7 linked regions of the Macaca fascicularis genome follow. The protein of the gene in region 2 interacts with the protein of the main gene of each other region in a pairwise test. Links are inferred from orthologs where the notes say so. Each region holds a gene or a part of one and is shown on either strand. Other genes may lie near its edges.

Region 1 (4,119 bases), on a different chromosome or scaffold from region 2:
TAGACTTCTGAGCTTTCAATAAAGCTTCATTTTCCACTATGTGTTAGGCCATGTGCTGGATTACTAATACATTGAAATGAGTAACTTATAGTCCCTATGTGTCCAATTGTGGGGGAGATCTCAGTTTATAATGGTAGAAGAAAGCAATGGGATGATAAGAAAGGGCGTGTGTTAGGGGATATTGCCCACTTTTTGAAATTGGACCCCCATCCTTTATCAGAGTTACAAGAAGTCTGACAGCTGAAATGCTGTCCTCAAGTTGAGAAAATGACCCACCCCTTCCCTATTCTTGTTTCTTTCTCTCTGAACTCTATAATCCCTCACCCTTGCCAGGGATAAAGGAACTCTTTTTATACATTTTCTTCTTCCCCCCAGTTTTGATGTGGTGAAGGCAGGACTGAGGGTTCATCACCCCTACCACTCCTCCTAGCAGAACAAGATGACCTTTACCAGAACACACAAGGTCGTGAGACAGAATTCCCATGCCACGTTTGCTGAAGCTATTAACCGTTCTATAACCTGGCACCCCAGGACACCTTGACTGTCCCAACGAAGCACTGCCACCAAACCCAGTTTGGGTGGAGTCTTGGCTTTTCTTATTCCATGTCAGATTAGAGAGGTGACCCTTGGCACCAAGGTCCCATCATTCCCCACAGTACTTTTCCAAGACCCAGAGGGGATATGAGAGAGGAGAGACTTGCAGACTCCTCCACAAGGAACGGGGCTCCTAGGAGATGACATGGGAGTAACTTGTGCCTTGGCTGTGGTGAGCAGTAAGGGTACTCCTGGTATAGGTACAAACTGTGGGAAGTTTGGGCATCGCCATATCCACCTTGCAGGCGGATGTGTCAGATGGGCCACGGGTGTGTGTGTGGCGGGGGGTGCGGGGGGGGTGACAGTTCCTGCAAGGTAGGGTCGGAGGAAAGGAAAGACCTATGGAAAAGGATACACCTGGGATCTTGAGGAGCCAGCTGCACCTGTTTCTGGGCTGAGAGGCTTCCGGAGCCACCACAAGGTGGAGACCAAGGATGGCGGGGGTGGGGTCTTTTCAGACCGGTTGTAAGTCCTGGGGCTGGTTGTACCTCCTGAAGCCCGTTTGGCACAGCCTGCAGGAGGGACTTTGCAAAGCCGCGTCCAGGTAGTATATGAAAGGTGTGTTGAGCTCAAATGGTCAGCCCGGGGTCAGGGGGTTCTGGGGTGGCGGGGAGCCGAGAAGAGTGAGATCCACGAAGGAGGCTCTCACCCCTTGGCAGCGGGCGGCTGCCTTGAGGGGCGGGCTGTGCCTAGCGCGACTCTGGCGCCGCCGCCTGGGGGCAGCCGGCTGTGAGCCCCGTGGACAGGGGCGCCTGGAGACCGCCTCTCATGAGGCACTAGGTCCTGGTACTTGCTGGGGGTGGGGAGGGAGAGGGGCGCACAGCGCCCAGAGGCGGAAGCCAAGCGCGTGAGTCACTCTGTTCCCCTGGGTTAGGAGCGGGACTTTGCCTCCCGCCTGGGGTCTGCATTTCAGCTCCAGCTTCAGCGACTCATCCCAGCAGGCTGACCCCCTCCAGAGGCTGGACCAGCTGCCTCTCAGTCTAGGTGAGGTCCAGGCAAGTTTCTCGTCTTCTGATGCTTACTGTTTGGGGGACTCGCGGGGAGGGGGTCTTCCAGTCTGTGTCTGTCTGCCTTTGCTTCCTCCCTCTGGCTTTCTCCATTGGAGACAGAAAGTTAGATTTAAAAAACGCAACAGAGAATATAAAATCTGTGCTCAGACCGCAGATAAACAAAACTCTGGGGCCATATTCTTAATTTCCCAAGTACCTTCACATGTCCGAATGCGGCGTTTATGGAGCTAGGAATGTTATGTTTGTTTCGTGTATTTCCCTCCTCCCCCACTTTCCTCCGGTGTAATTCTTAGAGGTGGGGACAGGAGAGTCAGAGGGCTTAGCTGGGATCCTTTGCCAGAGTGGCTTCTTCATTCTCTGCGAGGTGGCAGATGTTTTACTGCAGCCTGAGTTGGGATCTTGGAACAACCCTCTTCAGCCCAGGACATGCCAGCGCTTAAGGTAACTGCAGTTGTTGCATATCTATCTCGCTATCATTGACTGAATCAAAATGTTCCGGAGGCACAATTAATGTGAATGCCACAATGTTGAAACATTCATTGAAGGACACTATTGAATGTTTTATTTTTTAACGTATTGTATTCCAGGAAAATTTTAGAAGACTATTGCTGGTTTTATTTTCTCTATTTTCAGATATGCTCCAAAGCCTATTATTCCCTTGCAAGACAACCAGTGAGGACCTGTTCTGTTTCTTATAAGGATTTAACAGTGCAAAACTACGTGTTAGTTTCTCCTCTAAGGTTAGGGAGTTCCTTCTATTAACCACTTTTAGAAAAACATTTTGGTGGTGTGGTGGCGGGGGGGAGATATTTCCCCTTTCTCTATCACTAAATGCAAAATGTTTCTGTGACTATTAAGTAAATACTAATTATTGTCATTTTTGCTTAAAAGGAGCAGAGGAGAGCATCTCTTGGAATGCATGAATTTGTGGTTCATGTTGATGACTGATTGCTTTACCATCAAATTGTTTGGTTTGATGCAATGTTAACAGGTGGTCTTAATTCACAACACAGAAGTATTCTATTCTAGAAAACAACCCTGTTGATATGCACACCACCGCCCCCCCACCCCCAACACGCACACACAAAACCATGTTTTTGTCTTGCTTTGTGGGAGAGAAAAATGGATGGGGGAATCTTTTCTGGCAGTTGATTAATCCCTGATCTTTCTTGAATTGCCATTCGTTTTATAACCTATAATTATAGAAAAGACCCCTCCTTGAAATAAAATTAATAAAACCTTACATGTTTAGTCAGATCACTGGAATAATTTTTTAGAGTTGAATGGAAGCTTCCATGATCCTCTTCCAATGTCCTCCCCAGGGAGCCGTTAAGCTTCCCACTTCTCTGATAACATAACTTCTCTCCTCTACATACCTCTGTCTTAGCTCTTACCACCTTATGATTCTTGGTTTACATATCCATCTTGCTTAGAGTAATAACATTTATGTGAAAACAAGGGTAATGCCTTATTAATCTTTGTATCCCTGGAGTCTAGTAAAGTAAGGTCTGTTTAAAAAAAATGAATGAATAAAATAATTTGGCAGTCCAGATTAGGTTTACCATTCCTTGAAATCCACCTGGGCATTCTTTCTCTTCACTCCTAAAAGATAAGTCATTTAATTCAATGATACTCAAAGTGTGGATCCTCGGAATACACTGTGTCCTAAATAAATGAGAGTTTTCTATATTTGAAAAAATCTGTATATTGTTGTGAACTTTAACTTTATTTTTATTTATTTTTATTTTTTGCTGAAAGTAACAGAAAAGCCAACTAAACATGGCTTGTAATACTACAGAAGTTTAGCTGGGCATAGTAGCATGTGCCCGTGGTCCCAGCTACACAGGAGGCGGAGGTGGGAGGATCCCTTGAGCCCAGGATTTTAAAGCTGCAATGAACTATGATTGCACCACTGCATTCTAGGCTGGGTGACAGAGTAAGACCCTGTCTCTCAAAAAGAAAAAAAAAAAAATAGAGAAGTCTGACAGCAGGTGATAACTGGAGTTGATTCAGTGACCCAACAATATCGGGGTTCTGAGTCAGTGTCTTACCCTCACGGCTTCAAGATGGCTCTAACAGCTCAAGACACTGAGTCCTGATCCCATGTTCAATGACAGGAAACAGGGTGGAAAAGGTCAGAGTATTTTTCCTCATGCAACTTTCTTATCAAAGAAAAAATATCTTTCCCCAAATTTATCTAACAGAATCCTACTTTGATCTCATTGGCAATATCTGGGGCACATAGCTGCCCTTAGTGGCAAAGGAGACTGGGAAAGTATCAGTTTTTTTCAGCTTCTATAGTGGAAAGGCAGCCAGGGAGAGGCAGGTAGGTGATGTATCTGTGGAACTAACCAGAAAGTCTACTAGACTGTCAAGAAGATAAGTCTATTTGCACCTGTGATCAATGTTCGGGCCAAGTAAAATACTAAACGTTAATCAACATAGCAAAAGCACACATTTAGAGCAGAGTTCCCCTCTCCACAAGGGTGTATGGTATTTTAAGGGTGCCAAATCA
Region 2 (3,952 bases):
CAGAGACTAATAGCAACTGGGTCCTTGTTAACTTGCTGAGCCACTGAATTAAAGTCTCCCTTGCTTCTGGGCTTTCTGTTATGCGAGATAAGCAACTTCCTCATTTTTTAGGAAGACAATTTAACTCAGATTTCATATCACATGCATCCAAAATAATCATAACTGACCCAAAGATGTTTGGCCTCTACAGTTAGGGCAGCCATGCTCAGAAGAGTATGCAAGGGTACCCTATTGTCTTGGAAAAGGGAAGCACTGAGACTATTTGCGATTTGAGAACTGAAAATGCAAATCTGCTAACCATCGTGAGAGTGAATATCCAGGTATAGAAAGCACAGTGGGTGGGCGTAGGTTGTGGTAGGGACATGTTTGTATGGGGCAAACACAGAGATTAAACTTAAGTGTAGTTCCAGCTGCCTGGAAGAATGCTAAGAAGGGTCTGAAACTATTGAGCTCCAAGAGCCCTTGGACCTCCTGATGAGAGACCGTTGGCTGATGCCCTCGATGGGACATCCCTGCTGGCTCCTGTGGGATCTGCATCTACGCACACCTACATCATTTGACTGATTTGAAAAGACAGGTTGTCAACAGCGACACCATGTGGCTATAAGATACAATCAAAATGGTGGACATTTACAGCCTGAGGTAGGGCCTGAAGCTTCGTCGAGATGTGGAAAATGCTGAATCGGAAGAAATGTCATCAACAAACATTTATTGGGGTCCTCCAAATGTCAGCTGCTACAGTGGTCAGCCAGGTCTGGAACATCGAGAACATGCTGACCCGTACCCCAGCAAGAGCTCGTAGTAGCGGCGGGGTAGGGGGCGAGAGAGAGGGCAGTCTCTGGAGGCCAGGTAACCCAGGCTTCACTTTCACCTACGGCCACAAGTATGTCTGACATCTTCCAGGCAAATAAGGCTCCATGTAAGTGACAGGGTACCTAAGGAGAGCGATGGAAACGCCAGCTTGCCCACGACTAGCCGACGCCTGCGTTTGCGATAAGCCCCGCCCCCAGTAGCTGAGCCAACCGGAGGGTGCGGGGCGGACCCAGCTTCCGGGTGAGGCTGGAGAGAATCGTTTGGGGGCGTTCGCAGGCTAAAGAGGGGCTGGCCCTCGACGCGCTCGGGCTCGATTGGCCGCCCTTCCCCGGCGGAGGTAACGGTCGCGGAGGCGGGGCCTGATGTAGTAATCCCAGCCTAGCCGGGGCCGGGCTGGCTGCTGGTGGGAGGCGGCGACTGAGGAAGGTGAGTGGCGCTCGGGGCTCTCAGAGGTGTAGTCGTGAGCCCCTTCTCGGAGCACCCCGGACTTGACCTCACCTGGGCCTAACAGTGGTCAGACTGACCCTTGTCAGGGAGGAGCCGCCTGGGATAGGGTCGCGCCAATTACAAATCCCTGCGTAAGGGTTTGGGGATGGGACAAACCTGCGTGCTAGCCCCAGCTCCCCAGGCTTTGTGTTCTTTGGCTTCTCCTTTAATGTCTCAGCGCCTCGGATTCTTTATTTGTATACTAAAGCTGGTAATTCTCGCCTTACAAAGTGGTTGTGTGGGTTAAATGAGGCAGTAAGAGTAAAGCTTAGAATCACAGCGGGCACAGGTTCGATTTAAGCTGTAGGTAATTACTCCATCCCCCAAAATCGACCCGGACTGAAGCGCCCGTTTTGTGGCAAACAACCGCGAAGGTGGTTTGGGGAGTGAGGACTCGGAGCAGAAGGGGGCGGTTAGGCGAATAGCACAGGTGAGTATCTCTTTCTCTGGTTTATTAACCTCATTCCGGATTCAGGAGACCTCTGACTTTATACAGGGCCTAATAGGAGTTTTTCAAGGTGAAAAATGTCGGAAGGCTAAGACACCTGTAACAGAGAGACCTGAGTTTCCTTTTTTACTGCCACTGTTTTTCAATCAGTGTTTCAATCACTGTTAATATTAAACAGGCCGGGCGCAGTGGCTCACGCCTGTAATCTCAGCACTTTGGGAGGCCGAGGTGAGCGGATCACCTGAGGTCAGGAGTTCGAGACCACCCTGGCCAACATGGTGAAACCACCATGTCTCTACTAAAAATACAAAAATTAGCCGGGCGTGGTGGTGCGCGCCTGTAATCCAGCAACTCGGGAGGCTGAGGCAGGAGAATCGCTTGAACTCGGGAGGCGGAGGTTGCTGGGAGCTGAGATCGTGCCACTGCACTCCAGCCTGGAGAGCGAGGTTCCGTATCAAAAAAAAAAAAAAAAAATATATATATATATATATATATATATGTATGAATATTATATTAAACACTGTGCAGGCATTATCCATATTGGTTTCAAGCCTCTGCAATGAGTTTTGTACTTTAAATATTGCCAAGTAGACTCTGGCCTCCCCTAACCCTGCCTTTTGGGGAAGAGGTGGCTGACTTGGAGTTTTCCCTACAGCTTTTGCTTCAAAGCAAGGTTCTGCCGCTTCATGTCACCTCTCGCGAGACAGAATGATTTGGTTGAGATGACATTCCATTTTAACTCTTTCCTATTTGGGGTAGGTTCAACTCTTTCTTAGGAACATTAAACAGCAAGTTGCCATATTTTCAGAATAGAGCTTTTGCATTTAATAAGGAATAGAGACTTCGAAAGGGTTACATGTTCATTTATTGCAGTAATTTGAAGTATATGCTTTTGAAGACGCTTACAGATTTTGTTGTGATTCAGTTGAGAAGGAACAGTTACTGGCCATGGTTTATTGTCAGCTCCCCTCCCCGACCCCAAATGGTGAAAAGATAATTAAATTTTAAGGTATGGAGCATGTTACAAGGGACTTCAGACCTATAAAGGGCAATTTGGCTGAAACACTCGGGAAACCTAGAAAGTGTCAGAAGATACAATTATGTTTTTGCTTTTCTATGCCTGGCTTACTATGCCATGTACAAGACAACTCCTACCCTCTGACTCCTACCCCCACCATCTTATTTTAAGTGTATTATGACACTAATTAAAGCTGTAGCTTCTGTTTTGGCCCTAGAAGGCATTTGGTCTCTTCCTGTGACTTTAAAAGTTCCAGACCTTTGTCCTGGAAGTAGGGACAGCCTGTAGTGGGGAAAAGGCTGCTGCAAACTATTGGCCTGTTAATTTCATAGAATGGACCTCTGAAAAGGAGGGTTTGGTCACAGGTGCAAATGAGGAGTAGTTTTGTTCCTGTGTTTGCTTTTGTGATCAGTTGTAGTTTGTCTGAGGATGCTTCATTTTAGTATCCTTGCAAATGAGAATATCCTACCTGTGGAGCCGGAAGTCAGAATTGATGATAGATGATGATAGATTTGGATACCCAGCTAAATGTCTTAGCAAGGTAGGGAGAGGAAAGATAAGGGGAGAGAAGAGAAGGGAAGAGGTGTATGGTAGTGAGCTGGGAAGGGCATTAGCAGTTATTTCAGTTGTGCCTGGTTTATCTGTGATTACCAGTACCATGGATGCCTGCTCTGGGAGTAACAGAAGACCATTCTTACTAGGAAGCTGAACATTTCAAGATTTTCTTCTTTTTATCTTTTTGAAACCTAGATGAAGATCCAGTTTCAGACATGAGACTCGTTGGGTGATCATTTCATTGAGATCAACCTGAATGACCAGGTGTAAAGTGCAAGAGTAGTATGCTATGACTGAGGTATGTCTAATGTAACGGATGACTCCAGATGTTGGGAGACCACGGAAAAGTATGTAATTTGTTGAGTACTATACTAGGTTCATTACATATATTTCCTTTGGACTTCCTGATAATCCTATCAGGTAGATATTTTACAACTTAGCAAAGAAGCTGAAGCTCAGAGAGGTTAAGTACCTACTTAAGATAACACAGAAAGCTGATCACCAACTCTAATCACTGTCTCCATCCTGCTGTGTGCCAGGCAATGCTTTATGTTCTTTCTGTATTAACTCTCCTAATCTTTAATTTGTGAGCTGAGTACTTTTATTATCCTCATTTTATGATGAGGAAATTG
Region 3 (4,039 bases), on a different chromosome or scaffold from region 2:
CAGTTAAGTAATAACAGGACAGTTATGTAGTTGGAATTAACATACAATAAAGGGGACAGTTATGTAGTTAGAATTTTTACACAATAAGAATGAGAGACAAATATGATAGCTTCACTTCAGTAGAGTTAATTTTGTTAAAAGTTTAGAATTATATGAATTTTTAAAAGGCAACATTTGACATTTGACAGCACAAAGTATTTAGTTATATCTTTTAGAGCTAAGTGCTAGTAATTAAAAATAAGTAATTAAAATAAGTAAGTGAAAATAAGGCTAAAGTGATTGTCTCTCAAATGGGATACTCAGGAAGATTCACTAAAGCTCACAAAAAATGGGTTCAGAAAAAAAGACATCTTTATATTAAAGACTGATAAGACATATGGTTTGATTGTATTCCCTAAAAAAGCATATATTGAACTAATCGCCATTCTAATAGTATTGAGAGGTGAGACCTTTAGGAGATGATTGGCCTTGAGGACTCTGTCCTCATGAATGGATTAATGTCATCATTAGGGGAGAGGGTTCCTTATTTTAAAAAATGAGTTCAGGCCCCTCTTTGCCTCTCTCTCTTCTCTTTGCCCATCCACCATAAAATGACACAGCAAGAAGGCCTTTGCCAGATGTCTGCCCCTTAGTCTTGGACTTCCCAGGCACCAAAACCATGAGAAGTCAATTTTCATTATTTATAAACTACTCAGTCTGGGGTATTCTGTTACAGCAGCACAAACAGACTAAAATATACACACAACTGATTCATAAACAAAAAACAAAAATATATTTATGGTGTATACTTAAACTGAGTACTGACAAACATTTAATAATTGAAATATGAGACTCCTGGGTGAAAAGACTGAAGATGTCATAGATCAGGGGTCTACCGCCCGGTCACGGACTGGTACTGGTCTGTGGCTTTTAGGAATGGGGCAACACAGCAGGAGGTAAGTGGCAGGGAAGTGAGCATTACCACCGGAGCTCCGCCTGCTGTCAGATCAGCTCTGGCATAGATTCTTAGAGGAGCGCAATCTCTACTGTGAACTGCGCATGCAAGGGATCGAGGTTGCACACTCCTTATGTGAATCTAACTAACGCCTGATTATCTGACGTAGAACAGTTTCGTCCCCAAACCACTACCTCCACCACCTCCCACTTTCATGGAAAAATTGTTTTCCACAAAACTGATCCCTGGTGTCAAAAAGGTTGAGGACTCCTGCCATAGACAGTCCTTAAATAGGACCTGGAAGTAACAGAAAAAAACAAAAGAGCACATTTCAAAGAAAATATTCTAAAAAAAATGCTCACAGATGTACTTAGAAATTCTTCTCAATAGTACTCATTTCACAGTATTATTTAAAATAGTAAAACTTTAGAAGCTTAAATATTCAATAGTAGCTTATTGGCTAGTCAAATTACAATATGTGCAAAAAGTACATCCATTTAATACAGCATTATTACTGTCTGTGATCTGTAAAACAGACTGCTCTACTGTGGTTATTTTTTAGCTCTGAGAGTTCATTCAGTATTGTAGCACTTTATTTGGATATTTTGCATGCATGTTCACAAGTGACATGGGTCTTTGGTTTTAAAGCCAGAATTTACTTTTCTCAGGTTTGGGGAAAACAATTAAAATTCAAACCTCCTTCCAATGGCAGAAAATCCTCTCCACAAATGTAGAAACAAAAAGAAAACGGTTTTATTACTGAATAAGCATTAAATCAGACCTTGAGGCACTTCACAAGCAATCCACTATTGAGATTAAAAGGACAGGAAGAAATCTCATCTTATTATATAGGCAAGCAGATACAATCCAACACATATGTTTTCCAAATAAACAATAACTTATCCTCAAGTAAGATTTGACAGTTCAATTTGCTACACAAAATTTATTCTAAATTCACCTGTTAATTGGAGTTGCCACTGTGTTAGTTAATTGCCTATATCCCAAATAAAAATAACATTTCTCATATCTTTGACAAACCAGTCATTACAACTTAGAGCCAGAATGCTTCTTTCTTCCCCTTCAGTTGCCCGGGCAGCTTGAGATGTTCACTCATCTGAGCCCCCAAAAGAACATAGGATATCTATGCTAGCACTTATTTAAATTTCTTATGCTTTCTTACTTTTCTACCAGTGCTGCAATCTTCAACACAGGAGCCACTAGCCAACTTGGCTACAACATTTAAATTAATTAAAATGTAAAAATAAAATAATTAAATAAAATTTAAAATTCATTTCCTCTGTTGCTTAAGCTAAAATTCGAGTACTCAATAGTCACACAGGGCTGGTGGCTACCGTACTGACTAGTACACATGCAGAACACTTCCACCACTGCAGAAAGTTCTCTTAGACAATACTGCACTAGATCATGAAGTTCTGTGTGTCAGTGTACACTGAAATCCATGTATAACTTTTCCTAACAGGTACTTTGTAAGTGTTTAGAAGATGAACCAATGAATCGTTTTGGTATTAGCTCACTTTAGCCTTTCCTTTTTTTTTTTTTTTTTTTTAAGAGACAGGTTCTTGCCCTATCACCAAGCTGGAGTGCAGTGACATAATCATAGCTCACTACAGCCTCAACCCACAGGGCTCAAGAAATCTTCCCACTTCATCAGCCTCCCAAGTAGCTGGGACAACAGGCATGCACCACTACGCCAGTTTTTCAGTTCTAATTATCTAATTATTCCAGGAAAACAGACTTCACCCAACATGTACATCTGCTACTTACATCCCCTCCTGTGCAAGCTTCACCTTCCATGCCATGATTCTGCCCCACCAGTTCTTCATTACTCATCTTATTCACCCAACAATTACCTACTAATCTATTTGGTGCCAGGTAACACTCTGGGTACTGAAGCTATAGCAGTCAACAAAAAAGAAAAAACATTCCTCCCACCAGGAACAGACAATGAGCAGGTGCATATACTGAACATACAGTACATCAGCTAGTGAGTGACACGCGCCATGGAAAACAAAGCAGTGATGGAGGAGTGGAAGTGCTGGTCAAGGGAAGGTGACTGCAATTGCAAATAGGCGTTCAGGGAAGCTTTTCTGAGAAAGTAACCACGGAACAAATACATGAAGGAGATAAGAATGCAAGCTTATGCATATGTAGGGAAAGAATATTCCACGTGGATGGCACAGCAACTGGTGACAGTGGCTAGAGCTCAAAGGAATGAGGAGGCAGAGAAGGAAGGTGGGATCAGAGAGGTAATGGCCTAACTGTACAAATAGGTCACTGCAGAAGTGACTCAGTTAGAGCCACTGAAAAATTTTAGGTTGAAGAATAACAGGAATTTATATAACAATAGTATCACAGTAACAGTTGTACTGAGAATAGATTGATGCGGGTTAAGGGCAGATGCTGGGAATACAGCTAGGAGGCTACCCCAATAATCCAGGTGGCTCAGACTGGTGGTAGGGGTGGTGGTGGTGATGGGCTAGCTAATGGTTAGATGCTGTACACGGTGTATCGTTTAGATCCAACTAGAGGACCGGAATATTAGTTATAAATCAAAAGGAAGAATCAAGGATGACTCCAAACATCTCTTCACTTGAGACCACATGGTACAGTTTTGACAACCATAAACCAAATAACCTTACATTCCAAAGTTGCATTGTGAATTACAGTTTAAAAATTTTGGCAATCTAGAAAGTCTTCTAGCAGAAAACTGTAGAAAAGAGGAACACTGGGTGAAGAGAGCAATACCTTGGTGTTCTCTTGTGGGCTCCATCCTTCCTATAGTGAAAGGAACCATAGATCCAGTCCCTTAAATGGACTTGATTAGGTGGGAATAGGCAGAAGCAAAGCAAACACACAGAGGCCTCATGAAGTGTTTCAGGAAGACTTGGGGACACACCGACTTACCTGAGCCATTATTCTGCAATTTCCAGTAGCCAATAGAGTCCCCTTTCCAGGCTCTTATCTTACAGATGGGCAGTGTCCTGAGGGCACAGAAGGACAGGAAACAGTAGTCATGAAAAATAAGGCTGGCACCTGTGACACACCATAATGGAAAGGCACACTGGTAATCACTCTCCGGGGCGC
Region 4 (4,225 bases), about 79 Mb from region 2:
GTAGGGATCTTCTGCATTAGGGAGTAAGGAGAATGACAAAAGGTTCTTGGGGAAAAGACTGAGGACTAGGGGTCTGGACACAGGAGTTGTCCTTGGAAATGGAGTACTGGGGAGAGTGTGTTCCCTGAACAGGAAACTGGTGGGTCACAATGCATTGGGTCTGGGGTCAAGCTGTAGTGGAATGAAGTTGCAGCTGTTGGAATAGAAGTTGGTTTGCTCAAGATGCCCAGTTTCTGGCCCAAAAGGTGGGCTGTAGGCCAGGAAGAGGCCACCCAGCACTGCGGGGCTGAGCACTGGCAACAGAAGGCAGAGGTTGCTATGAAGTAAATCTGGAAGATCTGCATCCCAGCTGCTGCTGTCACGACAGGTGGCCTCCCAGGGAGCTCTCAACCCTCACCCCCTTCCTGCACCTGGGCAAGAGCCTTAGTACCTTGGGCTGATGCTCTTTCCTCTGTAAACAGGGGGCCAGACTGTGATCCTCTGGCTCTGGGGGCTGGCTTCACCTCGCTAAGCTTCGATTTCTTCATTTGAGAAGCGGGCCCGCACAGGCTGTCGTGAATGTTAATTTCGATCAAGCACCTAAAATGCACTGCCGGCACATGGGGGCAACTGATGAATTTTTCATTTTTAGCATCGGGGTTTACATTTTCTTAAGAGCCCAGTAACGACAGTCTAGGGCATTCTTTATTTCTGATTTTAAGAGGTGATGAGGACCGTAGGCGTTCATCTGTTGAATGAATGAATGCCTGCAGAAACTCGTTTTATTTAGAGTCCCATGTTGATTTCCGCATGCACGACCCAGGCTCCTCACTTTCAGGCTCGGCGTCCACCTACAAGCCGGCGATTCCTGAGAGCCTACAGTGCGCCCGGATTCACGCAGCTCGTTCTCATTCTCACCTCCACCATCGAGGAAAGTGAGGCTTGGGCAAGATCTGACACGCCCAAGATCTGCCCAGCGGTGGGGGTGGGAGCTCCGCGTGCAGGCTCTGGCCCTGGACCGCTAGGGCAGCCCCTACCACCCCCGCACGAGAGTCCCCTCCCACTAGGGTACCCGGCCCTCGACCCACCCTCGGGGTTTCCGCGGCGCGTTCTCTGGCGGGACAGCTGGAGCCAGAGGCAGGGCTGTTTACTCCTCCGACTCGGTTAATTCTCTCAGCCTCAGTCTGATTTAGGTGGCGGCGGGGGAGGGATGTCCTGGGGTCTCCGCTCTCCTCTTTCTAGCCTTCCCGTAGACCTAGGCCGTGCATGGGGAGCTGGAGTGTCGAGCGGTGGCCGGGCGTGGCCACGTCCTAGTCCTGCGTCGCCCGGCTTCGGCGCCCGCGGGGGTCCCCGGCCCGCCTCCCGCCCACGTGGCCGGCCCGGCCTCCCCGCCCCCGGCCCCGCCCCGCCCAGGGGATCCGCCGCCGCCTCCGCGGTGAGTTCTCCAGCCTGGAGAGGCCGAACTAGCGCGGGGGCCGAGGTGAGTGCGGGCAGCAGCCGGGAACCCCGCTCCCCGGCTAGACCCTTCCCGGCTGGACACCCCCTTGGTGGGACACCCCCGCTAGATCTCCCGGAGTGAGACCCTCTTCCGGGCTGGTTCCTCCTTTGCCCCGGTCCCGGAGCTGGACCCCCGCCACTCCCACCTCCGAGTTACCCCGCCAGGTCTCGGCGCCCCCGGCGGGACCTGAGCGCTCCCTGGTCTAGGGTACGTCCAGCGCACGGGGGCGCACTGGGCGCAGTGCAAGTGGGCAGTGCCACCGCCAACCTCGACCAGTCGTCGCTCCTGCTGGGGACCCTGACTCTGGTCCCCGGGTAGCCCCTTGAGCGAAAATTCCCGGAGCCACTTCCTGGGAGGGAGGCGCCACCTGTCCTGGGACGCGCCCCTTTCGCCCAACTTTCTTCTCCAGCCTGGCGGGGCACTCGCAGGTCAGCGTCGCGTTGCGCGCTGCTGGTGGCGGCTCACAGGGCTGCGGGTCACTTCGCGGCGGGCGAGCCGGACTCAGGGCGCTCCGGGCGGCGGGCACCGTCCCAGCCTGCCTGAGGCCCTTGTCCCGGCGGCTGCATCTTTTAAACCGAGCGGCCAGAAGATCCAGAGATAGGACGCCAGGGTGGCGGACGCCAAGGGGTTAAGGTCAGCGTGGGTGCCTCGCAGCCAGAGACGGGTGAGCGTTTTCTGAGGCCGACTGAGCCGAGTGGAAACGGGTTCCCATGGGCTTTGCGGTGGTGGAGAGCTGCTTTTGCACTATCAGCGGCCCCATCACGCGCTTGAATGTTGCGGAAACAGAGCGCCTTGTTCCTAGAGGACTCGGGTTGCTGGATTTACTGCCTGTCCCAGGCTTGCTTCCCGCACTGGGCGAGGACGTGGGAATTGCCAGACGGTAGTTGACCTGAATGTACCGGTAGAAACTTATTTTTAAGCGTTTCATGCACTACCCAGGTATAACCACTTTCTTCCCTGGGGTGTGGAGGAGGAGAGCTTCGCTGGATCTTTGTCTTAGCTGTGTAGTCCTGGGCAAGTTACTTCACTTACCTATGCCTCAGTTTTCTCATCTGTAAGGTGGGGATGAAAATAGTACAAACCTTAAAGACTTGTATAGGGATAAAGTGCTTAAAATACTGACTGGGGCAGGATAAATCCTCTGTGTTAGCTGCTCTTGTGATTATTATCACTGACATCTAACAGCGCGTACACAGCCCTAGCTTCTCAATGAGGTGGGTCTGCAGGCTGTTGCTCCTTCCCCTTCTTCTGGTAAGGAGCTGGTGGTGTTTACACAGGAGCCATGGTGTTCTCTTCCGCCCTGGGAAATTTGAGCTTTGCTGTAATACTTCCTGTGGCTAACCAGCCTTGTGCAAAGTATATCTCAGAATGTGGAATTAGAGATGAACTTTGTCAAGGACTCTGTTGGGAAGTGGGGTCTTGGATCTTCTTTGGAAGCTCTGGGGTGCGATTGGATGTTTGCCTCTTGTTGGCGGGGGGAGGGTGGGTAGATTTCACTTGATTCTTTTAGGCCTTGGGTCCCCTGACAGGCTGATATTGTCTAGTCTCTGTGAGTGCGGGAGTCTCTTTCAGGGTCCGGGGACCTGATCTTGTCTTCTTCTCCCGCATTCATTCATCTCTAGCAGATTGCTCCCTCCATCTGTAGAGTTCTCCTGGGCTGCACCCGTTTAGTATCTTCTTGGAAATTTAGTTTCTGTCTTCTGAACTCCACAGATAAGAGCTCTGTACCTGGAGCCCCAGGGAATGTCCTGAAATATACATGAGGCACAGTTATTTTTCCAGAAGTTTCCCCTTACATTGTATTCTCCATGAGGCCTGTAAGTGGACTCTGAACTTCTGGTAGGAAAGTGAAGGTTCTTGCCCCCGTTACATCTCAATTCCCTGCAAATTGGGGGCTGCCCTTGTTCACCCTCCCAGAACGCACTTTTCAGTAGGCAATACAGGTCAGCCTTGACTTGGTCAATTAGGGGAAAGAGACGCAGGCTGTGAGATTAGGCACTGTTGGCCTGTGGTGAGACCTTTAGGCTGGGATGCAATTCATGAACGTTTGAGTTCAAGTTTTCAGAAGACTTCTGAGGGCCTTTGCACTTGCTGTTCCCTCAACCTAGCATGCTTTTCCATCACTTCTTCCATGCTGGGCTCTTTCTTGCCCTTTTGCCCAGATGTCTCCCCTGTACAGATGGTTCTTCTGACTACTCTATCCAAAGCAGCCCCTCCCCCATTAGTTTCTATCACATTCTTTCTTGTATTTTATTCATAGAGCTTGCCTGGGATGATCTTATTCATGCATTGATTTATGGGTTTATTGTGTGCATCCACCCAGGAGAACATAGGATTCAAGAGGGCAGAGGTGTGTTGTCCTGTTCACTACTGACTCCTGGCCCATGGCATATAGCTGGTGCACAATAACTGTCCTGAGTGAATGAACACCCATTGACTGAAGTGAGGCGAGTTTGGAGAGTAGTGAAATGCAAAGGAACTAGTTGCTGGTCGGGAGCTCAGGGTTGAAAGTGACCATGAATGTGGCATACTTTCACCTCCAGATTAAATCACCTCTGCAACATCTCTTCCTAGTTACTGTTTAACCTAAGCTTGAATCCTCTAGGCACAGGGAACTTGTCGCCTCCTGCAATAGCCTGTTCCATTGGAGGAGAGGGAACAGAGAACTATTGAAGGAGAGGGAACAGAGAACCAGATGCAGTCCCTGTACCACTGTGATGAGGACGAGCTGTGGCCTCCTGCATGCTA
Region 5 (3,500 bases), on a different chromosome or scaffold from region 2:
GCTCTTGACAGTATACTATTAACTGATTTTCCTTTTTGCTTCCTCTCCTATTTCACCTTTTCTTTAAAGCCTCCTGTTCAGGTATACGGTATTGAAGGTCGCTATGCCACGGCTCTTTATTCTGCTGCATCAAAACAGAATAAGTTGGAGCAAGTAGAAAAGGAGTTGTTGAGAGTAGCAGTAAGTAGCTTTCCTATTCATTATATATTAAGTTCCTGTTTGTATATTTTTTCCTTTGGTTGGTTGACTGCATTCCTAATGAGGTGTATCCTCCAAGAAAAAGAACTGGGAAAAAGCCATTTTCTGTAAACACGTTTTTAGTGATAATGTTGGGTTTTTGTTATTATAAAACATATAAAAAGAACAAACAGATACATATAAGGATATTAATATTAGGAACCAAGATTTGGGGCTAAGAAAAGATAGAAATGTAAAATTAAAATAGATGATAATTTAGGAAAATTGCTATTTCAGTGGAGAATTTAAAAGCTACCTTTAAAAATCTATACTTATAACTGGGCACGGTGCTCACACCTATAATCCCAGTACTTTGGGAGGCCGAGGCAGGTGGATCAGGAGTTCATGAGTTTGAGACCAGCCTGGCCAACATAGTGAAACCCCATCTCTACTAAAAACTACAAAAAATTGGCGGGGCATGGTGGTGAACACCTGTAATCCCAGCTACTCTGGAGGCTGAGGCGGGAGAATTGCTTGAACCTGGGAGGCCGAGGCTGCAGTGAGCTGAGATCGCACCATTGCACTCCAGCCTGGGTGATGGTGCAAGACTATCTCAAAAAAAAAAAAAAAAAAAAAAAAAAAAAGATTATATGCTTCTGGGCTAGGTCTTTAGAATATATTGTGATTGGGTTTTACGGAGAATTTGTTTTCATAAAACCTTTGCCTCGGGTTTTAATTGCCATATTCTATGCTTGTAGAATCAGAGGAGGCTCAGACATGTCTTACAGGTTGTTTTCATTTGGTAGAGATGCTTTGCAATTGTCAGAACCCCAGAAGTAACCATGTAGACCTTTTCATTGTTATTTTGTTCCCAAAATGTGACAGAAGAATGACAGGCTGGGGCACGCTGGGCAGCAGAGTTAGTAAAGGGGTATGGGCTTCCCAGGGGTAATAGAGGACTGACAGGCAAAGACTGTGAGGCCGCTGCAGGATGTTTGTAACTTTTTTTTAAACATGAAAAGCAGAATAAATAAACCGTATTAACAGAAGCCTACATTGTAACTCAATAGGAGAATGTCTGCTTTCATTTTCACTGAATTTTCTAGTTAACAAGTTTCTACACATTCTGTTGCTTCTTTCTTTGATTTTCTGGCTGCTACCACTGGCAGTAAGGTCTGCATTAAAAAAGGTGAAGGAGACGCAGTCTGGTATATAGCCTCTTCGGAGGAAGTTTTGTTCTTTCTTGATTTTAAGATTCTTCATTCCTTGGCCGGGCGCAGTGGCTTACACCTGTAATCCCAACACTTTGGGAGGCCGAGACGGGTAGATCATGAGGTCAGGAGATCGAGACCATCCTGGCTAACATGGTGAAACCCCATCTCTACTAAAAATACAAAAAAGCCCGGCATGGCGGCATGTGCCTGTAGTCCCAGCTGCTGGGGAGGCTGAGGCAGGAGAATGGCGTGAACCCGGGAGGCGGAGCTTGCAGTGAGCCGAGATCATGCCATTGTACTCCAGCCTGGGTAACAGAACAAGACTCTGTCTCAAAAACAAAAAAAAGATTCTTCATTCCTTAATTCATATGTCTGTAAGTTTTTATTGTTTAGGAAAAACAGTTCATAGGCCAGTTGTATAGAATAATAATTCTTATGTTCTATATTAATCATCGTGTGTATAGTCTATAAGTATTACTGTTCTGTACTGTTTATGTTTTATTCATTTTTCACTTGAGCTTCTGTTGGAACTTCCGTCTTAACAGGCAGAATAATTTTAGCTCCATATTCCTTCCTTGATCCATTTACCTCTGCAGATAATGCTTAAGGTCTTAGCTGGTGTGATAAACTCTTAATGATTCTCACAGAGCCCAGGAACCCAGCCCTGTTGTTGGAGACATTTGGAGGAAGGGCATGCAGGAACAGACGGGGTCTCACACAGGCGTTTTTGGAGGTGATGGTTATTGTCTGCTACTTGTCAGTTATGCCCATTTTAAACAGAAACAATCGTGTTTACAATGGAGAGAATGACTTGGATTGTGGGCATTAGAATGGAGTTTGTCTAAAGCCTGGAAGTCAGTCAAGACATGGAGAAAAAGGGAGGCAATTATCTGAAGACACTCTGAATATTAGCAGAGTTTTGGCATTAAGAGGGAAGGATAATGCAAGCATCATACTCACTGTCCTCTGGATGATGCAGGAGACACAGATAAACATGAAAAACTAGGTAACCCAAATTCCAGAATGCTTTCAATCTGTGTATGCCTGCATTTTTTATGGAAAAATGTCATTTCTGTGGGGTCACTCAAGTGGAAATGTTAGCATTGGATGATAGTATCTGACCAGTATCCTGGATCAGAGACAGGATTCTGGCCAGGAGCCTGGGAGGAGGTGCTAGGAGAGTAATTGAGGCATAGAGAGGTGTGTTAACTGAAGGTGCTTGACTGGAAGCTGCCATTGTTGGTTTGTTGGAACTCTGGAGCAACATGCTGGAAGCTGCACTTGGTCACTGAATGCAGATATTTGTGATATAACAAAATGAGAAGAAGGTCGTTTCCCATGATGGTTGTGCTCCCGTTTTTTGTCCACTCTGTCTCCCAGACTCTTTGGGTCTGGCTGCTCTGGCAGCACCAGAGGTCTCGCAGAATCTGCTGGGTTCCCTGGACACTGTAAGAGGCAGGACCCCTCCAAGGGAGCAGTGAGGAGGCCTCTGCAGTCAGAGCACAGTTTTGAGGTCTGCACTTTAGAAATAGCACTGCTAGAAAAGCCAGACTAATACTCTTAAATACATTAAAATATGCAGTCAAGTGAAGTTTGGCTGCTTAGTGTTTTATAATCTTTCTTGAAAAGCAAAAATAAATTTAAGAAATTTCATACAGTATTTTTAAATTTTTTTGAGGAACATCATTCTATCCTATATAAAATCCTGGTGCAGTGCAGTGTATTCTGAAAGGCCGTCAGAAAATTGTTTGATTATAATATTTTTGTCATAAGTTCTTTGGCAGTGCTAATTTAATTCATAAAATACTTAATTCATAAGAAAGTGTGTGTATGGCCAGGCACAGTGGCTCATGCCTGTAATCGCAGCACTTTGGGAGGCCGAGGTGGGTGGATCACTTGAGGTCAGGAGTTTAAGACCAGCCTGGCCAACATGGCAAAACCCCTTTTCTACTAAAAATACAAAAATTAGTCAGACATGGTGGCGCACACCTGTAATCCCAGCTATCTGGGAGGCTGAGGCAGGAGAATCGCTTGAACCCAGGATGCAGAGGTTGCGTGAGCCAAGATTGTGCCACTGCACTCCAGCCTAGGCGACAGAGCAAGACTTTG
Region 6 (4,122 bases), on a different chromosome or scaffold from region 2:
CGAGTCACGGACAGAACATGCAGACCCAGGCCTCGGTGACCTAAGCCCCGCATTGCTAAAACCACGTGACCTCGAGGGCTGACTGGCCTGAGACCCCTGGATGGCGCTCTCGGTCACCCCCACTTCCCACCCCAACCTCCTGGGTTTTGGTCAGAATCCACAACCGGTGCCCAAAGAGCGCTTCCCACCTCTGGCACCCTACCTTCGCTGAGCTCCAGGGAAAAGAGGAGAGGGCAGCTTTCTGCAGTCAGAGGAAGGGTACATTTTCTTTGGCCTCTCTACCCTCTAAAGCAGGACGGCCCGCTGAAGGAGGACGCACTTCTGAGGGGCCCAGAGCTTTTCCAAGTTTTCCCCTGCCCCCTGAAGACTGTGCACTGAGCTGGGCGCAGTTGTCGGAAACTGTTTGCACCCAGATTGCTGGGGGTCGGGGGTCGGGTGCGGGCAGAGCCGAGAGGCTGTCCAAGTCTGAGAGAGAGAAAAGTTTCTCCCAGGACTCGACCTTGGCCTCCAGCAATCGCGACAGCTAAAAAGGGACCTCTCGCTTCGACAACAGATCTCGCGGACCTTCTGGCACCTGGTTCACCAGGACCCTCGAACTCTGCCTCGGGAGACTTCTTGAAATCCGGATGCTCAAGCCGGGAGGCGCGCAGTAGCCAGAAGGATGAGAGGCCCGGGTTTGGACTAGGAAAGCGGCCTTTTGAAACAGATGTCAGGGGCTACTGGGAATGCAGCCCAGAGCCATGAGAAAAAAGTTAAAGGCGAGATGACACACACTGAATTGGGGCAAACATTGGAAGAGGGGACAAAACTGCGTGCTTGAGCACCGGGGTGCGGGGGAGGGGGGACAAAACTCGTATCCAATGGAAATTAAAGTCTTGGGAGGAGGTGGGGGCTCCTGCGCGCCCTTCACCCTCAGTTCCCCTATTAAGGATTCCGCGTCCCCTGCACGCCTGTCTTCTAGCTCCTTCCTTCCTCTCCGCTCGGCCGGTGAGCGGCGGCCGCCAGCGCCCCAGCAGCAGCTAGATGTCAGGCGAAGCCCGGAGCGCGGAGCGCGGGGAAGGGAGGGGAAGGGAGGGGAGGGGAAAGGAGAGGTGGGGCGGGGAGCGCGCGCGGGCTCGGCCAGTGCGGGGTGGTGGGCGGGCTGAGCCCGAGGACGGCGCGGGAGGGGGGAGGGAAGGGGGGCAGCTGTGGGCAGGGAGCCGGGCTCGGCCGCCAGCACTAAAGATGGAGAGGCGCCGGGGCCTTGCAGGGGAGGGGGCTCGGCGTTGACGTGGGACGCGGCGGAGGCGCAGCAGCCGGTGGTGATTTGCTAACCTCGCAGCAGAGAGGAGTTGAGGGCGATGAGAGCGGGTACTGCGAACTGCCGGGCGATGCTGTCGCTGCCGCCTTGATACGGAGAGCAACAGTTCCCCAGCAACACCCCTCCCCGACACAGGCACACACCCCCCGACAGGCACGCACACCCACCCCACAGTGCCCGGCTCGGCTGCGGTGAGTGAGGGGCCGGGAAGAGGCGCACCGCCGAGCGAGCGCCGCGCGCCGGGGCTCCCCGGGGCTGGAGAGGTCTGGGGGGCGCGCGCTCGCTTCGGCCACTCGGCCGCTGGGCTTGTGCCTTTTTTATTTGGCGTGTTCCCTTCCTGCCGCTGCAGCCGTCGCCGCAACCGGTTGGGGGTCGGCTAGAAGGGGGAGCCCCGGCTGTCAGCCTGGGCACAGCTGCCTCCCCAGCCCTTCCTCTCCAGGGCACGGTCGGGGTGAGAGGTGGGGGGCGTAGCGGTCTGCGGGGGCTGAGGGCGTGAGCAGAGGGTCGGGGATCCGGAGGCTTTGTACCGCCAGGGGCCAGCGGAGGAACAGAGCCCGTGGGTGCTCTTATGTATGCGGACCGGTGCGCGGGCGCGAGATAGGGTTGTGGTTTATTTATTTGTGTGTCTATTCGCCGGCCGGCTGGGAAGCTAGAATCGGAGGAGCTGACGAGTAGATCTGGGGGCGGAGGGGAACAGGACTGGGACTGCTTACGTTTTGTTTCTGTTTGAAAAAACGTGGTGGGCTTTTTATTGATTGGACTTGATCCCCCCCTTTTGCAGGGGAGGGAGGGAAGCTCCAGAGGGTCTCCAGCGCTCCGGGCCCTCCTCGGCTCTCGACGGGACCGGCGGTGACACCGGAGCTCGCCGTGCGCTCCCGGCCGCTCTCGGTGGGTGCGGGTCTCTGCACCTGATGCGTTCGGGATGCCTTTCCCACCCTGGCGCGCCCGCCGCTAGCTCGCACAGCGCCTCGCACACGCCCGCACGCGCTTGAAATGCGCAGGGTCCCGCCGGCCCACGGACCCACTGGGACGCACGGAGCGCTCCGCACCGACTCGCTCGCCGCCTCCGCGAGACGCTCGCACGGTGCTTCGGACGGGCGCGCCGGCCGCTGGCGCCGCTGGCCAGAGGCCGGGGACCCAGCCGGTCGCTTCCCGGGGGTCACGGCCCTGGGTCGGAGAGGGAGGGCGGGCAGACCCCTTCTCGCCTTTCCTCCTACAACTCGTTTGCGGGGCTTTTGTGCTTCCCCTTCGCCGCGGGGCGGGTCCGCCTCCCTGCTGCTCTCCCCGCGGAGTCCAGCCCGCCCGGACTGTCGCCTTTTTTCCCAGTCTCTTTCGCTTTCCCTCGTCCCTAGCCCAGCTCTTCATCTTTCAGGCGTCTAGCTCCTCGGGAAAAGTTGCTTCCCCAAGTTTGCTGAAGTCGTCTCCAAGTCTCGGTGGGGGGTCGCTGGGAACTGGAGGCGTGTGAGAGCACGGTCGATCCCCGGAGCTCAGGCGGGTTCTCGCCGGTTCTTCCCCGCGCCGCCCGGCTGGACGCTGCAGCCAGCGCCGGCCGAATCGCGGGCGCCGAGCGGCGGGTGGGGAAGACGGCTGCCCGTGGGCGCCCCGATTTCCCTCAGGACCCAAAGGGCTTGTTTTGGGGCGCCAAGCTTCCATTCTTTTGGCTGTTCCCTCCTAGTTCTCAGAAGCCCCGATGTCTGCGGGAAAGCACGCGGTGGCCAGGCTCTGCTGAATGTTCATCCCACCCTTGACGGCCTCCGTCCCCACCCCGGGGTAGGCAACAAAAGTGTCTTGACCAGCCGTCCTGTGAATCCTTTCTGCGTGAGCTTGGTGGCTCCTGAACTGATAGAGCTTCTTTTGGGGGTGGAGGCAAGCAAGCAGTGTTCGAAGAGTGAGGGAGAGACCTTGCTGTTCCTTGCTCTCAGTGCATTCACTGCAATATTGGTCGCTGCAAGGCAGACACGGGGAGGGCCCTGGGCCTGCGCGGTCTTTCTAACACTCGTTAAGCGGGGTTTGGAGTCTAGGAGCCCTCTTATTGATCCCGAACAGGCTCTGGGAGAGGCCTTTGTTTCCCAGCCCTGTCTTCCCTTCGTACTGGTTGTAACTCACACCACAGATGCTGGTGCCAATATCACTTCCAGCGCCTCTGAGCCATGTCCGGCATCCCTTGCTGCCCCTGGTCACAGGACTTGCAGACTCCTTGGAGCCTGTGGGACACACGTGGAGTTCACACACCCAGCCCAGCATAAGCGCTCCTGGCTGTAGGGGAGCATATTTACTGTGGTCTCTCTCCATACCTTAATGATCCATCCTTCTTCGTTTTTTAGATCCTCCTGTCCACCGGCCAGTTGTGGGCAGGACGGTAGGTACGGCCCCTTATATAAGTGTGTGTGTGTGTGTATGTAAAGACACACACACACGCTTTTTTTTTTTTCTGAGACGGAGTTTTGCTGTTGTTGCCCAGGCTGGAGCGCAATGGCACAATCTCGGCTCACCGCAACCTCCGCCTCCCGGGTTCAAGTGATTCTCCTGCCTCAGCCTCGCTAGTAGCTGGGATTACAGGCGGGTGCCACCGCGCCTGGCTAATTTTGTATGTTTTGTAGAGACGGGGCTTCTCCACGTTGGTCAGGCTGGTCTCGAACTCCCGACCCCAGGTGATCCGCCTGCCTGGGCCTCCCAAAGTGCTGGGATTAGAGGCGTGAGACACTACACCCTGCCCCACACACTCTTTCTGTCTCTGGCTGGTGTACATACACACAGTGCAGATTTTAGATTATACATACAATAACTTTGAGGCTTCCATGGGTAGAAATGACCTAAGTTTG
Region 7 (4,298 bases), on a different chromosome or scaffold from region 2:
GGCTAGACATTTGCCTTACCTTTACTACCTTGTAGTCACACAAGTATTCCACCTCATAATTGTTTAGATTCCTTTTGGTGATTCCAATCGATTTACATGTGAGCTTTTCTTTTCTACATAATTCCTGAAGAGTATCAAGTGAAACTAGGCAAGGCACACACCAAGCTACAATAAGAAAATAGAATTCTTTACTAATGAAATAGCTATTCAATTAAAATAAAAAAGAGAAAAACCCTCTATTCCCCAACTTTCAACTGGCAATTTTAGACTAAAAATTCCTATGACAAGAAACCAATTATGCGTCTTCAAGAAAAAGTTAAACATTAAGGAACTATTTCGTTAAATTGGTGTTCTTGGATTTTCTCATGGATTTCTACTCCACTATGTTTAACTGACATCAGTTGATTTCCATTAAGTCACTCGAAAATGTTTCATGTCTGTAAGCTTTTTAAAAATTATATGCAGATGCAGGTCAACGAGGTAGTGTTTCTTACTTTCATTGTATTCTACATAGACTATAATCACTATTTTAATAAAATGTAAATCTCTAGGACACTTATTCTTAAAAACACATCTAAAATATACTTTAAAACAACATTATAATTCGTTAACACATAACTCATTTTTTTTTAACTGGACAAAACGAACTGAAATCTAATTAAAATATATTTCTACGTTACAAACTCATATGTTAGTTTTCTCTTTGAAATGTTGCATGAAGCTTTAATTCCACTTATTATTTTACCCATACTGCAATATATTATCACCAAGGTGAATAAACTCGAGTTATTAAAAAAATGGAGAGTATATTGATATTTTGTAATACTTATTGACTGTATTGTTTTTAAAGCCAAACTTTTAAAACGGTGTTCAATTTACATAAGCCATGTACTAAACTCAAAGAAAATTAGACATACTTATCATCAACCCTCCAGAAGCCAGAAACTAATTGTGTTCCAGAAGATTTGACCCTCAAATTTCTGTAAGTAGCATGTTACCACACTGAATTTAAAGTGTAAATTAACAAACACGTTTAGGAAAATGGAACAAACTTGGTGTTAGGGCCAGTGTCATGGTAAGCACTAGACAGGATCAAAAGTCCTCTGCCCTACCCATCGCTCAGCCACCGAGCTATGTGACTTTAGTGAAGTCTCAATCTGTCTGGCTGTCACATTCACTGGAAAAAAATGGAGAAAACTGGTGTTACCAAACAAAATCTATCAGTAAACTCAAGCTTTACTTGGTAGCTCTCCAAGGTAGTTGCGATCACCTTTTATGTTTTGAGGTAATTTCAGGAAAGGGAGAACACTTGTTAGCAGCAATAACTTTTCCTGCACCCTTTCCTCATCCTCCCCACCTCACACAGAGACTACTTCATTGTCAGAAACCCTTAAGCATAATTTCCACCATCTCACTGGCTGCAAACGACTCCATCCTAAAGCAGTAAAGAGAAAGGTATTTTCCTCCAGAAAACGTGGGGGAAGAGGCCGATTGCTTTGGAGTGGTCGTTTGGGGGTAGGACAGTGATAGGAGAGAAATGACCCCGTAAGTCCCTTACATCTAAAAAAACTAGAGGACGTTTTGTGTTAAGCTGACCTCACTAAGGGGATCACGTATAAAGGTGGTTCCTCTTGAGTATCTACCCAAGGTGTGTTTGTGTGCTTTTCCTAAACATTTTTATCTAGTTGAGGATTCAAAACACAACCCGCAAAGGAAATGCTCTTCGAGAATTTAAAGGAAAAAAAAAAAGTGAACATGAAAAACTGCAAACACGTGGTTAAAAAAAAGCAAAACGACAATCTCTCAAGTCTCCAGTAATGTAGAAATATATTTCACTGACAAAATTAAATAGTTCATGACCACCACAAACACCTTCCGCTAGCTTAGTTCACAGTAACCCCTGACATTCTCCAAGGAAGAAAAACTCGGGGATAATGAGGTCATAATCCAAGTGGAGAGGAGGCGAGCTTGAAAACACCTTTACATTCCAGAACGCACGGAAAAGTTCCAGGCTCTCAAAGCGTGCGCGACACCAACACCCCCCGACGCCCACACCCACGCGCGCTCGGTGCCCAATTCCCCAGCGTCCACAGAAATAACACCAAGCTCCCGGTGGGTGGAAGAGTTACCGTAAGCCAGAGGCTGCAACCTCAAATACCCACTTTCTGGGCGACTCTCCAACGAGGCACTCAACCTCCTAGCGTGTCCGCCTTGTGGGGGGGGGGGGGTTCCTCGGTTATCCCCTTAGCACACAGGAGCCCCGATTTCCTCTCCCCCTCTGATATTAAGGTCATGTTCACGCCGGCGGGCGTCGCTTCCCGCCTCCCACTTCAAAGGCCCGGGCGCATGCCGCACGCCGCGCTCGAACCACCACAAAGGAGCCAGTCGCAGCCGGGCCCCCGGGACCTCCAGCCGGGGACCGCCGGGGAGCGGCCCCGACCCCCGAAGCCACCACGGGAGACGCCAAGGGGGCCGGGCCGAGCGGGCGGAGAGGCCACGCTCCGCAGCCGAAGCGCCCCAGGCTCGCGCGGTGCCCACCTCCGCGGCGGGAGCCGGCCGGGCAGGGAGGCGGGTCAGCGGCCTGGGGGAGGGTAGGCGCCCGCAGCGTGCGTCCCGGAGTCGGGGGCGCGGCGGCCGGGGAACCGCCACGTCGCCGTCTGGCTGGCCCGCGGGCCGGCCCCGCCGCCTGGGCCTTGGGAGCTTGCCTGGGAACGGGGAGGGCGAGGGGGCCGCGCTCCAGCCTCACCTCCTCGCGCCTCGGCCCCGACCGCCGCCATCTTGTGGAGCTTTCATTCAAACTGGCGCGGTCTGACGGGATAGCTCAGCTGGCCCGACGCCCCGCCCCTGGCCGGCCCGCGCGGGACGTGGGGGCCGGGGCTTGTAGGGGGGATGGAACCCGCACGGCGTCCTGACGTCACTGGCGGCCGACCCCCCGCCGCGGCGGTCAGCGCGCCTGCGCCCCAAGGGTAGGCCCGGCCCCAAAAGCGAGGAGCCGAGCGGGGCGGAGCGAGCGCGCGCGCGTGCTTTGGGATGCTGTGCGGTGTCCGGCGCCCATACCCTGAGCCAGGCCCGTTTGGCGCATTCACTCGGGAGGACGTCGGCCAGGGACGGTGCCTTTCGGGTCTGGTTCCGCAGCCACCGCAGCTCGGCGGGCCATGGTTAGGCTCCCCCCGACCCCACTTCCCTAGAGCACCGGGCCTCGGAAGCGGCCGCACATGGGCACGGCTGGAGAGGTTCCGCTGGCTTGGTGCAGTCGCCGGGATTCCGACTGGTTGGTGTGGGGTGTGGCCTGTGCTGCCCAGCTCCCAGCTGATCCTAATGTGCGGCACAGCTGAAACCGCCAGTCTCCATCAGTGCTTCTCACACTTAAAAGGGGTTTACGAATCGTCGTGGGGGGGAGGTGCGGACTTGGAATTTTTTGAGAGATGGGGTCTCACTCTGTCACCAAGCTCAAGTGCAGTGGCGCGATTACGGCTCACTGCAGTCTCGACCTCCTGGGCTCAACTTTTAATGTAAATTGGGACTGGGTAGGTCTGTAAGGAGACCCGAGCCCCCCTCCCGTGTTGTTGACAAGCTCCTGAGCTCGGCCTGCTGACGGGTGGGGGCCGGGAGGAAGAGGACTTGTTGGTAAGGAGGCTGCAGGGCGACTCCGGGGGCCTCCCACCTGGTCTCCACCCCCTCCCCCCAGCCATTCTTGACGCCGCATCCATATGACTGTTTTAAACAACCTAAAGCAGAAATCTTAGAGCAAATAACGAAAACTGGCAGAAAGCCATTTGATGTCTACTAAGGACTTAAACGCAGACCATTAAAGGACTGGTTATTTGATTCCATTATGAAATACTGTCTAGCCGTCTTAAAAAGATGTTCATGAAGCTTTTAGTGTTAAGCAAAAACAAAACAAATCCCCCTGAAATATAGTTTTAACTAGGAAAAAAATGTATAGGAAAATAACGAAATACAGCCTTTCGAAGTGATTTTAACTTCTCGTTTTTACATATTTAATCATTTTCTACGATGAGCATCTCACTACCTTGATATAAGGAATAAAAGGCCCTACCCAACCCTATCACCTGGAAGAGCATCCAGGCCCTTTAAGGCGTAGTCTATCTAGGATTATGCCTTCAGGCCCTTTAAGATACAGCCTCCCGTCCTAACCGACCCCAAGCACTCATTGCCTCTCCTGTATGTTTTCAGAGCCCTCCAAGGAGCGGCCTTCGCTACTCACTGGTCATTCCTGAATCCCTTTTTGGCTCCTTTTCCTCAGTCCAGCCTGGGTTCCTCAGGGAAGGGACTGT

Evidence for each region.
Region 1: the proteins of CEP70 (region 2) and SYTL5 interact in binary tests that used the Homo sapiens proteins (3 or more experiments, as listed by UniProt). The two-hybrid records come from large-scale screens. The link is inferred for Macaca fascicularis from reciprocal best matches to the Homo sapiens genes CEP70 and SYTL5.
Region 3: the proteins of CEP70 (region 2) and ZNF302 interact in binary tests that used the Homo sapiens proteins (3 or more experiments, as listed by UniProt). The two-hybrid records come from large-scale screens. The link is inferred for Macaca fascicularis from reciprocal best matches to the Homo sapiens genes CEP70 and ZNF302.
Region 4: the proteins of CEP70 (region 2) and ARHGEF3 interact in binary tests that used the Homo sapiens proteins (3 or more experiments, as listed by UniProt). The link is inferred for Macaca fascicularis from reciprocal best matches to the Homo sapiens genes CEP70 and ARHGEF3.
Region 5: the proteins of CEP70 (region 2) and ATP5PO interact in binary tests that used the Homo sapiens proteins (3 or more experiments, as listed by UniProt). The two-hybrid records come from large-scale screens. The link is inferred for Macaca fascicularis from reciprocal best matches to the Homo sapiens genes CEP70 and ATP5PO.
Region 6: the proteins of CEP70 (region 2) and ZBTB16 interact in binary tests that used the Homo sapiens proteins (3 or more experiments, as listed by UniProt). The two-hybrid records come from large-scale screens. The link is inferred for Macaca fascicularis from reciprocal best matches to the Homo sapiens genes CEP70 and ZBTB16.
Region 7: the proteins of CEP70 (region 2) and SUV39H2 interact in a two-hybrid assay, tested with the Homo sapiens proteins (2 studies listed by BioGRID and IntAct). The link is inferred for Macaca fascicularis from reciprocal best matches to the Homo sapiens genes CEP70 and SUV39H2.

What each region holds. Positions count from the first base shown.
Region 1 is NC_088395.1:37,836,405-37,840,523, forward strand, and holds the start of SYTL5 (synaptotagmin-like protein 5), read left to right. Parts: upstream 1-1,319; 5' UTR 1,320-1,578; intron 1,579-1,886; exon of another isoform or gene 1,887-2,045; intron 2,046-4,119. UniProt on the Homo sapiens protein: May act as Rab effector protein and play a role in vesicle trafficking. Binds phospholipids.
Region 2 is NC_088376.1:41,433,976-41,437,927, reverse strand, and holds the start of CEP70 (centrosomal protein of 70 kDa), read left to right. Parts: upstream 1-1,152; 5' UTR 1,153-1,729; intron 1,730-3,515; 5' UTR 3,516-3,609; coding exon of another isoform or gene 3,610-3,618; intron 3,619-3,952.
Region 3 is NC_088393.1:41,934,038-41,938,076, reverse strand, and holds the start of ZNF302 (zinc finger protein 302), read right to left. Parts: upstream 2,801-4,039; 5' UTR 2,786-2,800; coding exon 2,720-2,785; intron 1-2,719. UniProt on the Homo sapiens protein: May be involved in transcriptional regulation.
Region 4 is NC_088376.1:120,162,251-120,166,475, reverse strand, and holds the start of ARHGEF3 (rho guanine nucleotide exchange factor 3), read left to right. Parts: upstream 1-1,425; 5' UTR 1,426-2,141; intron 2,142-4,225. UniProt on the Homo sapiens protein: Acts as a guanine nucleotide exchange factor (GEF) for RhoA and RhoB GTPases.
Region 5 is NC_088377.1:13,016,715-13,020,214, forward strand, and holds part of ATP5PO (ATP synthase peripheral stalk subunit OSCP, mitochondrial), read left to right. Parts: intron 1-69; coding exon 70-180; intron 181-3,500. UniProt on the Homo sapiens protein: Subunit OSCP, of the mitochondrial membrane ATP synthase complex (F(1)F(0) ATP synthase or Complex V) that produces ATP from ADP in the presence of a proton gradient across the membrane which is generated by electron transport complexes of the respiratory chain.
Region 6 is NC_088388.1:112,988,218-112,992,339, forward strand, and holds the start of ZBTB16 (zinc finger and BTB domain-containing protein 16), read left to right. Parts: upstream 1-1,322; 5' UTR 1,323-2,188; exon of another isoform or gene 2,189-2,975; 5' UTR 2,976-3,070; exon of another isoform or gene 3,071-4,122. UniProt on the Homo sapiens protein: Acts as a transcriptional repressor. Transcriptional repression may be mediated through recruitment of histone deacetylases to target promoters. May play a role in myeloid maturation and in the development and/or maintenance of other differentiated tissues.
Region 7 is NC_088383.1:15,808,148-15,812,445, reverse strand, and holds the start of SUV39H2 (histone-lysine N-methyltransferase SUV39H2), read right to left. Parts: upstream 2,801-4,298; 5' UTR 2,778-2,800; coding exon 2,747-2,777; exon of another isoform or gene 2,706-2,746; intron 2,543-2,705; exon of another isoform or gene 2,163-2,542; intron 1,178-2,162; exon of another isoform or gene 1,117-1,177; coding exon of another isoform or gene 1,113-1,116; intron 166-1,112; coding exon 20-165; intron 1-19. UniProt on the Homo sapiens protein: Histone methyltransferase that specifically trimethylates 'Lys-9' of histone H3 using monomethylated H3 'Lys-9' as substrate.